Drosophila melanogaster: one gene and its partners. The protein of the gene in region 3 interacts with the protein of the main gene of each other region in a pairwise test. Each region holds a gene or a part of one and is shown on either strand. Other genes may lie near its edges. The genes, in order: CG4267, CG42369 and CG7006.

Evidence for each region.
Region 1: the proteins of CG7006 (region 3) and CG4267 interact in a two-hybrid assay, tested with the Drosophila melanogaster proteins (one large-scale study listed by BioGRID).
Region 2: the proteins of CG7006 (region 3) and CG42369 interact in a two-hybrid assay, tested with the Drosophila melanogaster proteins (one large-scale study listed by BioGRID).

Annotation. Positions count from the first base shown.
Region 1 is NT_033779.5:2,240,746-2,245,910, reverse strand, and holds CG4267 (uncharacterized protein), read right to left. Parts: upstream 3,534-5,165; 5' UTR 3,390-3,533; coding exon 3,320-3,389; intron 3,219-3,319; coding exon 2,966-3,218; intron 2,352-2,965; coding exon 1,550-2,351; 3' UTR 637-1,549; downstream 1-636.
Region 2 is NT_033779.5:6,395,279-6,399,108, reverse strand, and holds CG42369 (uncharacterized protein), read left to right. Parts: upstream 1-1,859; 5' UTR 1,860-2,015; coding exon 2,016-3,221; 3' UTR 3,222-3,256; downstream 3,257-3,830.
Region 3 is NT_033777.3:24,848,688-24,851,885, forward strand, and holds CG7006 (uncharacterized protein), read left to right. Parts: upstream 1-1,939; 5' UTR 1,940-2,027; coding exon 2,028-2,083; intron 2,084-2,134; coding exon 2,135-2,621; 3' UTR 2,622-2,698; downstream 2,699-3,198. Other genes in the region: Esp (epidermal stripes and patches), read left to right, coding at 1-617, 679-981, 1,044-1,546; Nct (nicastrin), read left to right, coding at 2,962-3,025, 3,151-3,198.

The DNA of each region.
Region 1 (5,165 bases), on a different chromosome or scaffold from region 3:
TCAGCACCCTCAACAACGACAACTTTAATTAAGTGAAAATTATGATGCTGTCAGGAAAAGAAGGAGACGGCAGGCATCAGCACATTGGGCGGGTGGGCATTTGCAGGCGAGTGGGTGGCCGCTGGTCACACGTGGCGTATGAATAATGTAGAATCTCAACTAATTAAGCCAAGTAAATGCATTAGCAACAACCCGTCGCAGCCTCTTGTCCAATATGTGCAATTTTGCACAGCTTTTCGGCGCTCCAAAAGCAGCAGCAACAATTTGGGTAACATATTGTTTGTTTTAATTAAAAATTCTTTTCCAAATATGCAGCGAATCAGGGCGAAAAACAGTGTGCAGAAGGCAGTCTAAAGTATCCTGTAACTAAAACGTTTCATCAAGATTTGGCGTCGAAAATTGGCATCTCTGCTCACCTTTTAAGTCCTGGCCCAGAGATCAATATCTGGAATATCCATTTCGGGTTTGGTGACCAATGCCATAACCAATGGAGCTTGAGGCACCGGCAATGCTCCTGTAGAAGCCAAAAGACTAAAAACGGCAAGACCCAGTATGAATGACAGCTTCATTTTGTTTACTTTACTAAATTTTCAAGCCTCTTCAAAAAGATTTGTATTCCGATCTGACATAAAGTTTAATGGTAACGCGATGAATCAATAATATAAGTAACTATCGTAGTAGTCGTATTCCGAATCATCATAGTAGTACGATCCTTCCTCTGATTCCTCACTTGATTCGGAGCTCTCATCTTCGGAGGAATCTTCAGATGACTCATCTTCGGTGGAATCTTCAGATGACTCATCTTCGGTGGAATCTTCAGATGTCACGTCACTTTCCGTGGTGGTGGTTGTTTCGGTGAATGCCTTAGAAGTCTCAGATGCTTCACTAGTTTCCGCCGACGAAGATGAAGGTACTGTGGTCACCTCAAATACCTTTTCGCTGGAGCTTTCAGTCAATGGTGATAGTTGCTGGCTGGAACTTTCAGGTGCTTCACTAGTTTCCTCAGATGATGATGATGATGGTGAAGTTAGTGTGGGCACGTCAGAAGTCACAGTGGATGGTTCACTGGTTGCCTCTGTGGACATTGATGACTTGGAAGCAACACTTTCTTTGGTCAAAACATTGGACAATCGAAATCCAACTTGATTTTGGGAAATTTGCGAGTTTATTTTAGGTCTGGCAGCTGCGAAGGCCAGGAAAGCTATAAAGTAAAAGCAAACACGTTGAGCGCGGAACATTTTCGGTTGAATATTGTGGAAAGAGTGGATAAGCCTTCCGTGCCTCGTGAGGTTTATATACCTATCTTGAAGTTTAGGTTACTAATAGTTATTCCCAGCTGACTTACACACTCGCTAGATGGTTTTTCTTTGTGAATAGTTCGCCATAAAACTTAATTGGCTCACGTTGTTGCGAGATAAGAAGTAACTTAAAAAAATGTTTCTAGAAATAGGTGTACTATTTATAATAAATTCTCTATAAAAGAAAAATAACCAATTATAAATACCAAACTTCTATTTCATCAACAAATGTACACATATTAACTAATATCCTACTCTTCCGTGGAGTTCTCAATATCATCTTCCCGTGGAGGCGGTTCCGTTTGCCACCTGTGGCCCATGGCATAGGGTGGCTTTGAGTAGGTTTTCACATAGAAAGTTCCGTTCTTGGGGATTGAGGGCTCCCCGCCCATCCGGAACTCTCCATCGCTCATTAGGAGCAGCCAGGTGCCATCATCGTGACGCTCGCAGCGCGGTCCCCAAAATCCCGCCGGACTCGTCAGCGACTCTATGAAGTAGTCATGGGATCTCTTATGAGAACAGCCATAGACATAGCATTTCTTCTGATTCTTCCCATAGTTGGGATAGAAGGTGGCGTGTCCCACGGGCTGCTCGAAGCCAAAGCTAACGCTGGTTTGAATGGACTCCACATAGGAGGCGTCACTAGCATCGATTCGGTACTCGTCGCTCTTCTCCCGGAACTGTGGACCCGCCGGATCCAGAGCGTATATGGTGTTGAATCGATATGGCATTATCTGCTTGCCAGCACTGCCGGCGATCTGCGCTCCCAGAGAGTGTCCAATGACGTATACGTCGTCGTAGTGCATGTTCGCCTCCTGGTTCAGATAGCGCACCAGTTCCGCCAGCAGGGCTCCCATGTCCTCCACCGTCTTGGCCACCTCGTAGTAGTTTACGTTCGTGGAAGTCTTGCTCCAGTCACATACGATCACATTGAAGTCCTCGTAGGGGGCGGGCTCTCCGTTGGGTCCCGGATCGGTCAGGCTGAGGTATGCGTTCTTAACCTTCCTTATATGCGAACCTTTGCTCTGACTCATCCAGCCATGAATGACTATCCTAAAAATAAGCAGTCAGGAAAGTCAATATAATATATCAATGTATACTAAACTAATAGCAATTCCCTTTAAAATAAACATATTTCAATTCATTTATGTATATATGATATCAACTTCGCCTGATATCTTATCTTTTAATGCAAAATTGGTGTATTGCTTGGCGTATTTGGTGTAAATTTGTGCAATTACTATCTGTTAGCTATTATAATGAATTAACTTGTAATTAGCAATAAATCAATTGTCAGGCCAATGGCAATGACTCAATGGCGATAATTCAAACGAAAGCTCAACCAAAAAATGTAAATATATAAAGCAGAGAAACCTGTTTTCGTGTTAGTCGCGAAATATAAAAAATAAATTATTTGGTGAGAGAATCTAGCAAATATTTGTTTTGGTTCTATTCATTAGATTGGTGCTTTGCTCTCACATTAATTTCTGGGGCTTAGTGGTAGTATGAATACTAAATACACTGTCAATTGTTGCGAGCTGAAAGGTTTGTACAGCTTTTAGCCATTATCTCACCGTTCAGTGTAATGAATTGATTGTGGCACACTCACTTCGCTGCAAAGTTCCCCATTCGATCGGGGCTTTAATCTTCCCGGAAATCCCCCTTACCTTGTTTGATGACGTGCATCGAAGCCCGAGTTCCTCAGGTTTTCCACATCGCCCACGAACAGTTCCCTTCCGCAGTCCGCGAAGTCCCGCTTGAAGAGTATGAACTGCATTTTGCCCCTCGAACTCGTGAAGGGTATGAGGTGCTTGAAGAACTTCTTCCAGAACGAGGGATCCACCCCCAAGGTCTTCTTCTTCACCAGCGTGTAGTTGCAGGTGGCATTGGGATCGAGTTCGGTTTTCTCCGAGCTGCTGGCTAGTTAAAGACGATATAGCAAGCAAACCAAAAATATATCAATCAAATGAATTTCTACACAGATCTGTGATAAGACCTTGAAATGTGTGAATATTACCCACCAAATACGATGGCCGCAAATGCCAAAAGCACCGCACTCATGATGCTAATCCGTCCCAGCTGCGAGATCATGGCTGTTCCAAGATATCTCCCTCGGGGCTTCTGACCGATCGAGTGTAGTGCGTCCGATGACCGATCTCCACCGTTATAAATTTCGAACGCCGGCGGAATAAGCCGCAGATCTGACCGGTCGACTGGTGCGTGCGCAACCAACTGACACAGCTCTCCGCCAATCTCTCGATGGTCGAGCGTTGCGAGCTCCACTTTCCGAATCGGAGCGGAGAGCGCGGCGACCCCAAGTCTACGCTCAGTGGGTTACTCACTCCAGTGATAACTGATCATCGCAGCTCGCTCACTCTCTCTCTCTCTCTCTCTCTCTCCTCATAGATCATTATACTTCCTTATAGAGAGTATCGATTAGGTTAGCAGGCTGATGATCTTGAAAATTAGAGGTATAAAGAAATATAAAGTGCTGTTATCTGTTTAAAACAACAAAAACTCATGAAAATTATAAGTGTATTATGCAGTTTTAAGTAAATATCCTTAAAAAACCGACAAATTGTTATGATTATACAAAACCATAAGCCCTTCTGGCGCTAATTGGCACGCATAAAAGGTTAACCGATCCATCCTTTCTTAACCCAGATAAGTTAATTACCCCATTAAGTTGACCTGCTGTAAAATACAGAAAAAGGCAGCGTAATGAGTATGGTTTTCCGAATCCTGGGGCCACGTTTTTATGGCTGTCAGTCAGCGCGAATGCTTATCGCAGATCCCGAAAATGCTCAGACCTATCGGCTAATTGCGTGGTCCTAATCACATTCGAAACCCGCTTAATTAAGCATCCCCGAGTGCATAATTCATTAATCCAAACTCAAATGAGGCGACAAATTTTCAGTCACTTAGCGAGTCAGTTTTTCGGCTGGCAAAGAAAATGGAAAATTGGGGCGGGTGGGTTTTCTTGTGGCCTTTCTTGCCTTCCACCTGCGCCACATGAAAACGTTTTAATTATGCAAATTTGGGCTGCTGCCTTGTTGATTAGAAAATCCGCGAGGGGCAAAGCGAGTTACTTGAGCCCTCGACAAGGTATGCAGTTCACCTCAGATTGGCACAAGGACCTCCAGGCATCAATCAATACGCAAACAGATCCTGGGGGGGCAGGGCAAACAGCCCATCCACCACGAGACCAATAAATTTGGCCAACCACCAATTAGATGTTGGAAATTAATTGGCAATGCCTCGCGACCAACTGAAATGGATGAAGGATGTGGTGCAGAATTCCTGCGGCTGAGGGTGAAATTTGAATTCGGTTCCTGGAAAAGGAAAATTCAGAGACTTGGTCACAGTTTTCCATTCCGAACAAATTTACTGCACTTTGAATCCCTTGTCATGTGTCGGAAAAAGTTTTTGCCCAGCTTGGAATGAGCTTAACTTAAAGACTGTTTCGCAGAGATTTAAGTGAAAGGGTTTTGCCTTTTGCCTATATCGGAAAATTCAATAACTTCATTGGAATATGGTTTAAATTTAAATAGTTTTGGCAACAACAATTCAACATCCCACCTCCCTTGCTCGTCCACTTTTTCATCACTCTACCGATCAAAGTTTCGGAGCGGAGGGTGAAAAGTTTTCTGGCCAAAACGGAAAAACTGTAAATCCACAACTAACATTTTTAAGCATAACAAAGTACGACGAGATTCCGAGAATAAATCTTGACGCCGCTTTTGGTTTAGTCAGGCGTAGCCCCAAAAAGCGCTTATTATGCGGTTCAAGGGGGCAGCAAATGGGGGAATGGGGGATGTTTTGTCCTGGGGACTTTTAGTTTTTAGCTCTACAACGATGACTGCAACT
Region 2 (3,830 bases), on a different chromosome or scaffold from region 3:
ACTTAATCTGTCAAGTTGAGTAAACAATGAAGCAAAATAGAAGGACAGATAAATACACTGAGATAATTTTATGACAATATCTTCGATTTAAATGGAAATCATGAAATCTTGCATTAAGTACTTTTCGCATTTGTATTTACTTTGGGAATTCTGATCCCAAGTAATGTAGCTGAAAGAACTTAAAATTCTCTTATACAGATGACTGTCCAACATCTTTATTGGATATAGATGTGTGCATACCCAATGCCTCTAGGAGTACAGGGTATTTATTCATATAAAAGAGCACAACTTAGAATGTAACTTAGAATGATGCTCGGTCAACGCGCGGGATGAGCGATAAAATCAAAGCACAGTATAACCAAAACAATTGTTCAAAAAGAAGAGCAATTTTTTCGGACAATGAAGAAAGCGCATAAGAAGTGTTTTGAAAAAAACAAAAGTTTAACTCCTTTAAAATCATTAAAACGCTTTTAGCGCTTTTCACGCCCCTGGCCAGCGAGAATTTCCACCCGTCTGGCAAAGCGCTGGAAAGTTTAGTTTCGGCTTTGTTACCGAAAAAACAGAAAGACAAAAAAAAAAAAAAGGAAAACTGTCGGCGATGATGGAAAAAGTGGCAAAGTTTTTCTCAAAGGCATCACTGGCGAAGTATAAGAATAAAATGACCGACCATGAGTGACCGGAGCAAAGCTCTATGGGCTAGTAGATACCCTAACCAGATGACTTTCTTGCGAATAGATTTTGTCACTTAAGTGCCAGCAATGTGGAGGGCAGCCGTTCCTCCAGCCATGACTCCTTGGCTTTCGTCCTCCAGAAATCCTTTGTCCTTGGCCACAGTTTGAATCAAAGTGTCTTGGTCGTTCGCCATTGAAGCGAATGCGTAGCCCATGCCAATTGTGCAATTGTTGGAAAATTTCTTCTTCAGGTTTTTGGTATCTTTTATTTTTTCTTACATTTTTTTTTTTCCTAAAAACTTTATCGGTGTGCCTTTCATTTTTTCTTAACCATTTTTCCCCATTTTTACGCTCTTTGCCAAACCGTTTCCATAGTTTTTTTTTGCGTTTTGGGTTTCGTCTTAAAAGGTGTTGGCCATTATGCGGTTGCAGATACCCTTTGATCGAATATTAAAGGCTAATGCACAGAAATGTTCGAACGAAATCGAAATCAAGTGTTTTCGCTAAAAGTTGGCAAAGGGGAAGTGGCATGAGTTCAATCAATTTGACGAACTTCAATCAAGCTGCGCCATAGAATGAAGAACGACGAGCATCGCTGATTTGGAATCCATGTGGATTCATGCCACATCCCATTTGGGATTCCGCTGAAGTTCTGTCGTCAAATGGCAGCAGTCTGCAGTCTGCAACTTTAAGCTAACTTGTGATAGGTATCCCGCACACGCGCTCAGTTTGAGTTCGGTCAACAATTGCCCGCACAGACAAATTGGGAAGGAGCGCTGACTATTTGATACATTGTAGGGACCAATGTCCTGGCCATTTGCAGTTGCACGGGCACCAGGTTACAGCGAATCGATTCCCTCATTCAATCCTATCCCGATTCACCAGTCAGTTGTTGCCACTAATGCCCTTTCGACGAACAATAGTTGTCGAAATGGGGAAAGGATAAAAATGCATTACCTTCAAATAAAAAGTTATGTATTAAATTGTGCTGGTTTCTGACAGAGGAATTGTAATCAGCGCTGAACTCTTTCCTTTCTTATTTTCGCTGTCCTTAATTTGCGTTCGATTATTAGCAGAAAATAAAATATAATATAATTTGCACGAATTGGATTACCCATTATTTCTCTCAGTGCCAGCTCCGTAGCGATAAGGCTGTCGAACTGAGCGCAGTTCGCTTTCGCACTGGTTAATCGTCAGTGGTCGGCTTGGCATATCAGACGAACTAACCGCATCACCGACTTGACTACTGACCCCAATCTAAGCCCCTTCGTCTAATCAGCCAACTGGCGGCGACAACAACGCAGTTTCTGCAATCAAAATCAGTTGGAGCCAGCTCCCTCTAAGATGATGATCGAGTGGTGGCTGCCATGGGTGTGCCTCTTGCCGCTCATGCAGGCGGATCCTGTTGCTCCCCAGCTGGATCTTGGTGTGAAGGACTTCCAGCTGGAGCTTCTGCGCGAGTTAAGCGACCTGGTGCAACAGCGGATTGAACCGAGTCTCAACGACTACCTGGATCGTCTAGGACGCATTCCTCGGAATGCCAACTACACCGAAGAGATGAGTGCAGCTCGCGCAACACCAAAGCTTCAATTGAAGGTGACGCTCATCAAGCAGCTGCTCGACGTGCGTCCGCACCTGGACACGGATATGGAGTACACCATTGTGCTGCGCAACCTGGTCTTTCTGAACCGAGTCAGATCCACGCTGAGGGCTGCCGAGGAGACTAGCACACAAGAGATCCGAATGATGCGCATGCACCGCCTCTGCCAGCAACTTGACCGACCGGCTCCTCATCGCGGCAGTCGCCTGATCAACGAACAGACAGTCGGGGCGGCATTGGGGCAACTCAATCTGACCAAAAAGGAGGTGAACTCCACCGGCTTGGATCTCAATGAGTTCGGGGCGCAGCTGTACGAGCGGGTCAAGTTATCCGGCGCCGAAATCATCGACAACTACCTGCACATACTGCGTTCCCTGCTGCAGGACATCATCGACGGTGACCATGCTGATCTGGCCGGGAGCAGTGCCAAGCTGGACAAGATGCAGCAGCAGCTGGACGTCATGCTTGCCACGGAGGACTTCTTCGAGAAACGTCAACGGGTGTATGCGTACCTGGAGCACCACTTGCGCACCGATTACGAGGAGATGCGGGACACATCGAGCAGCGAGCACATCACCGAACATCTTCTCGCCCAGCTGAAGACCAAGGGACTGGACCTGTTCGTCATCTTTCTTTTTAGCAATTTTGAATTCCTAGACCTGGTGCACGAGCACTGGGAGCAGCTGTTGCCACAGTCACCCAGTTTGCTATACGACGAGACCGCACGCCAATTGTACGATCTGCAGCAGCTGTATCAGGTCTTCAAGCTGGACACGGAGTGCGAGGCCAAGTACACGGCCTACTCGGACGCACTGCGTCGCTTGCACGAGCGGACCGTGGAGCAGGGTCAGCGCAACCGGCACATCTTTGAGCTGCTCCACAACGCGGCACAAAGCGTCGGCACGGTTACCTTCAACATGATCCGGGCCAAGTGCAATGAGCTAAGATGAGATGACATTTATAATAAAACCAAACTTTGCTACTTAAATGATGAGAGTTGCGTGCTTTTGGCTATATAGTTCCACATACTAATATCTTATATTGAAGACATCGCCTGTGCTGCAATTGACAGCGTTTGAAAGGACAAGTTTCACAACATAATTACATTTTGCCAGTTCCTGCGGTTGTCGCCTGCTTTTAATATCCGTCTGCCGCATCTGATTTCGCTTAAGTATCGTCCAGGAACACCTTTCCACATCTTCGGGGTGAGCGGACAGCAACTTCCTTTTGCCGCATTATGCAGATGTTGCCGTTAGTGTTGCTTCTCCTGGTGTTGCCACTGCTCGTTGTTTATCAGATGCTGCCAGGGCTCTAAGGATTCAACTCTTGCTCCTGCTTCAGCTCCAGCTGAAGCTGCAGCATCATGGCTCCCTTGTGGTACCGATGGGCCTTCAGACTAATGACTGCTGCTGCCGCTGTCGTTGGCCAAAGCCAGCTAATTAATTGTCGTCGTTGCAGGTGATTAGAACTTAAATGAGTTGCCGGTGCAGCAGAAGTTTCCGTGGCACAGTTAGCCGTCAAAAAAAGGACGACATGGTGGTATAGCCATCCCGAATAGC
Region 3 (3,198 bases):
TGGAATTGTGGAGCTGCTGATGGGCCTCTTCGGACTGGGCTTCCTGATTGACTTCGTCTCCGGACCAGTTTCCTCGGGCTTCACCTCCGCCGTCTCGCTGATCATCCTCACCTCGCAGATCCAAAGTGTGCTGGGCATCACGGCCAAGGGCAACACCTTCGTGGAGATCTGGACGCAAGTCTTCCACAACATCGAGCACACAAGGGCAGGAGACACGGTACTAGGGCTAACCTGCATTGTCATCCTGCTGTTGATGCGCAGTCTGTCTTCCTGTCGAATTGGACCAGTCGACGAGAAGGAATGCTCATCCTTCCAGCGGGCTGTGAACAAGATCCTTTGGATCGTGGGTACTGCTCGAAATGCCATTCTGGTGGTCGTTTGCTGCATCATGGGCTATATGCTCCACACCGAGGAGCACGGAGCTCCGTTTCGAGTGGTGGGAGAGATACCACCCGGGCTCCCCAGCATCCAGTTGCCACCCACATCGTTGACTGCCAATGAAACCAGCAATGGAGTGGCCGAGGGATTCGTGGAAATGGTTCACAGCATGGGTTCCGGCTTGGTGGTGATTCCCTTGATCTCGCTCATGGAAAACATAGCCATCTGCAAAGCGTTTGGTGAGTCTTAAGCTCTATCTTTCCCTATATGGTTCCCTATAATAATAGTTGATCCTTTCAGCCAATGGCAAGCCAGTGGATGCCTCGCAGGAATTGATTGCCATTGGAACGGCCAACATCTTCAACTCTTTTGTCCAAGCCTTTCCGGGCACTGGAGCCCTTAGTCGTGGAGCAGTCAATAATGCCAGTGGTGTCCGTACTCCCCTGAGCAATATTTACTCCGGTGGCCTGGTCATGATTGCCCTGCTCTTCCTCACGCCCTACTTCTACTTCATTCCACGCCCTACCCTGGCAGCCATCATTATATCCGCCGTGGTCTTCATGATTGAAGTAAAGGTGGTCAAGCCCATGTGGAGATCGAAGAGTAAGTCATACAAAATATGGAGATAGTGGTCATTTGTTCATCTCACTTTAATAACCCATTAGAAAGTGATCTGGTGCCTGGAGTTGGAACCTTTGTGGCCTGCCTTGTCTTGCCGCTGGAGTGGGGCATCCTCATTGGAGTGGGACTCAATGTCATCTTTATCCTCTACCATGCTGCGCGTCCCAAGCTGAGCACCGAGCTACTGACCACACAGTCGGGTGTGGAGTACTCAATGATCACGCCAGATCGATGCCTGATCTTCCCGTCTGTGGATTATGTGAGGAATCTGGTCAACAAGCAGTCCATTAGGCAAAATGTCCCAGTGGTCATAGATGCGTCGCATGTCTACGGGGCTGACTTCACAACGGCCACGGTTATAGACTCGCTGATCAGTGATTTCAATCAGCGAGGACAACTGCTCTTCTTCTACAACCTCAAACCGAGTATCTGCTCCATTTTCGAGCACGTGTCGGCGGCCCAGTTCGTGGTCTACTACCAGGAGCAGCAGTTGGATGAGCTGCTCAAGGAGCGCAACTATGTGCAGAAGCGGCTCGAGACGGCCTAACTGGCTTATTCTCCTCAACACGTGATACAAATAATTTAGCCTAAGTGTTTGCTTTAATTATTTATGGCGTTGTAAATAGATTGTAAACTAATTGTGTAGTATTATCCAGAGCACACAACTATTAGAAATTGTAAGGTGAACAAATAAGTGTATTTCTTAATTACGTAATAATAACAAACAAAAATAATTTATCTTGTTTATTTCATGAAAGAGTAAAAGTCAGTGAGATTGGTTAACTCAAATCAATTAAAACTATTATTCAGTTTTGTTTATCAGATATATTTGATTTTGAATTTAAATACTTGGGCAATATACAACACTTGATAATGGCGCTATACAGCACTCTTAAGCTATCGATAAAAGCTATAGATAGACCGATATATTCAGTGCTGTTAGCCGTCCCTACTCAACACTGAAACATTTCTCACGTGTAAAGTTGAGCAGTTTGTTTTCCTCTTTTTTCCGCTTAATTTAACTTAAAATGAAACGCCTGAGCGACGAACGTGCCAAGATCTTGTTCGAGCACCTGTCCAAATAGTGAGTACCCAAAACAGATCATCGCAATGCAGCTAACAAGTGCTCTTACAGCATTGGCACAAATGTGAAGCATTTGATTGACCGGCCAGATGGAACATATTGCTTTCGGGAGCACAAGGATCGGGTCTACTACGTCTCGGAGCGGATTTTGAAGCTGAGCGAGTGCTTCGGCTACAAGCAGCTGGTGTGCGTGGGCACCTGCTTCGGCAAGTTCTCCAAGACCAACAAACTGAAGTTCCATATCACGGCCCTCTACTACTTGGCGCCCTACGCCCAGTACAAGGTGTGGGTGAAGCCCTCCTTCGAGCAGCAGTTTCTCTACGGCAACCACATACCCAAAACAGGACTGGGTCGCATCACGGAGAACGCCGGCCAGTACCAGGGCGTGGTGGTCTACTCCATGAACGACCTGCCTCTGGGCTTCGGCGTACTGGCGCGTTCCACAACGGACTGCAAGACCGCCGATCCCATGACCACCGTATGCTTTCATCAGTCGGATATCGGCGAATATATTCGCGCCGAGGACACGCTCTTTTAGATCCATAGATGCTAAGTTTTTACATGTTTTGTAGCAATAACCATGTTTAGGTAAATAATAAGTATGCTGAAAAACGGATAAACTGCTTTTGATTTTATATTTTTAATGTTAATACTGATAATAATAATAATTGATAATAAAACTTACACTACATTTCATAAATTATTATTAAAAAAAAAAATTTTAAATAGTGAGCCAATATTTTGTGGTATATTTTATGCAAGGTATTTTTTGAGTTTGAAATAGTATATACCCGCATTTTCAATGCCAATGGTATTTTGTACCGAAACGGTCACACGCAACACTGCAATTTCTGGACGCGATTTCGTGGGAATCTTCGATGGAAATGCGTCTGAATGCGGCTTCCATATGGCTGTTAATACTGTCGTATGGAGCAACTATTGGTAATAATCAGGACGAAAACAAAGTGGAGCTTCCAGTAGCGACCGGCGTCGAAAACCCGCACGCCCACTTTTTAATATAGGCCAAATAACCTGAGTCATCTAACCCGAACTTTCTTTGTCCACAGCTCAAGGAGAAAGAACCCGCGATAAGATGTACGAGCCCATTGGAGGAG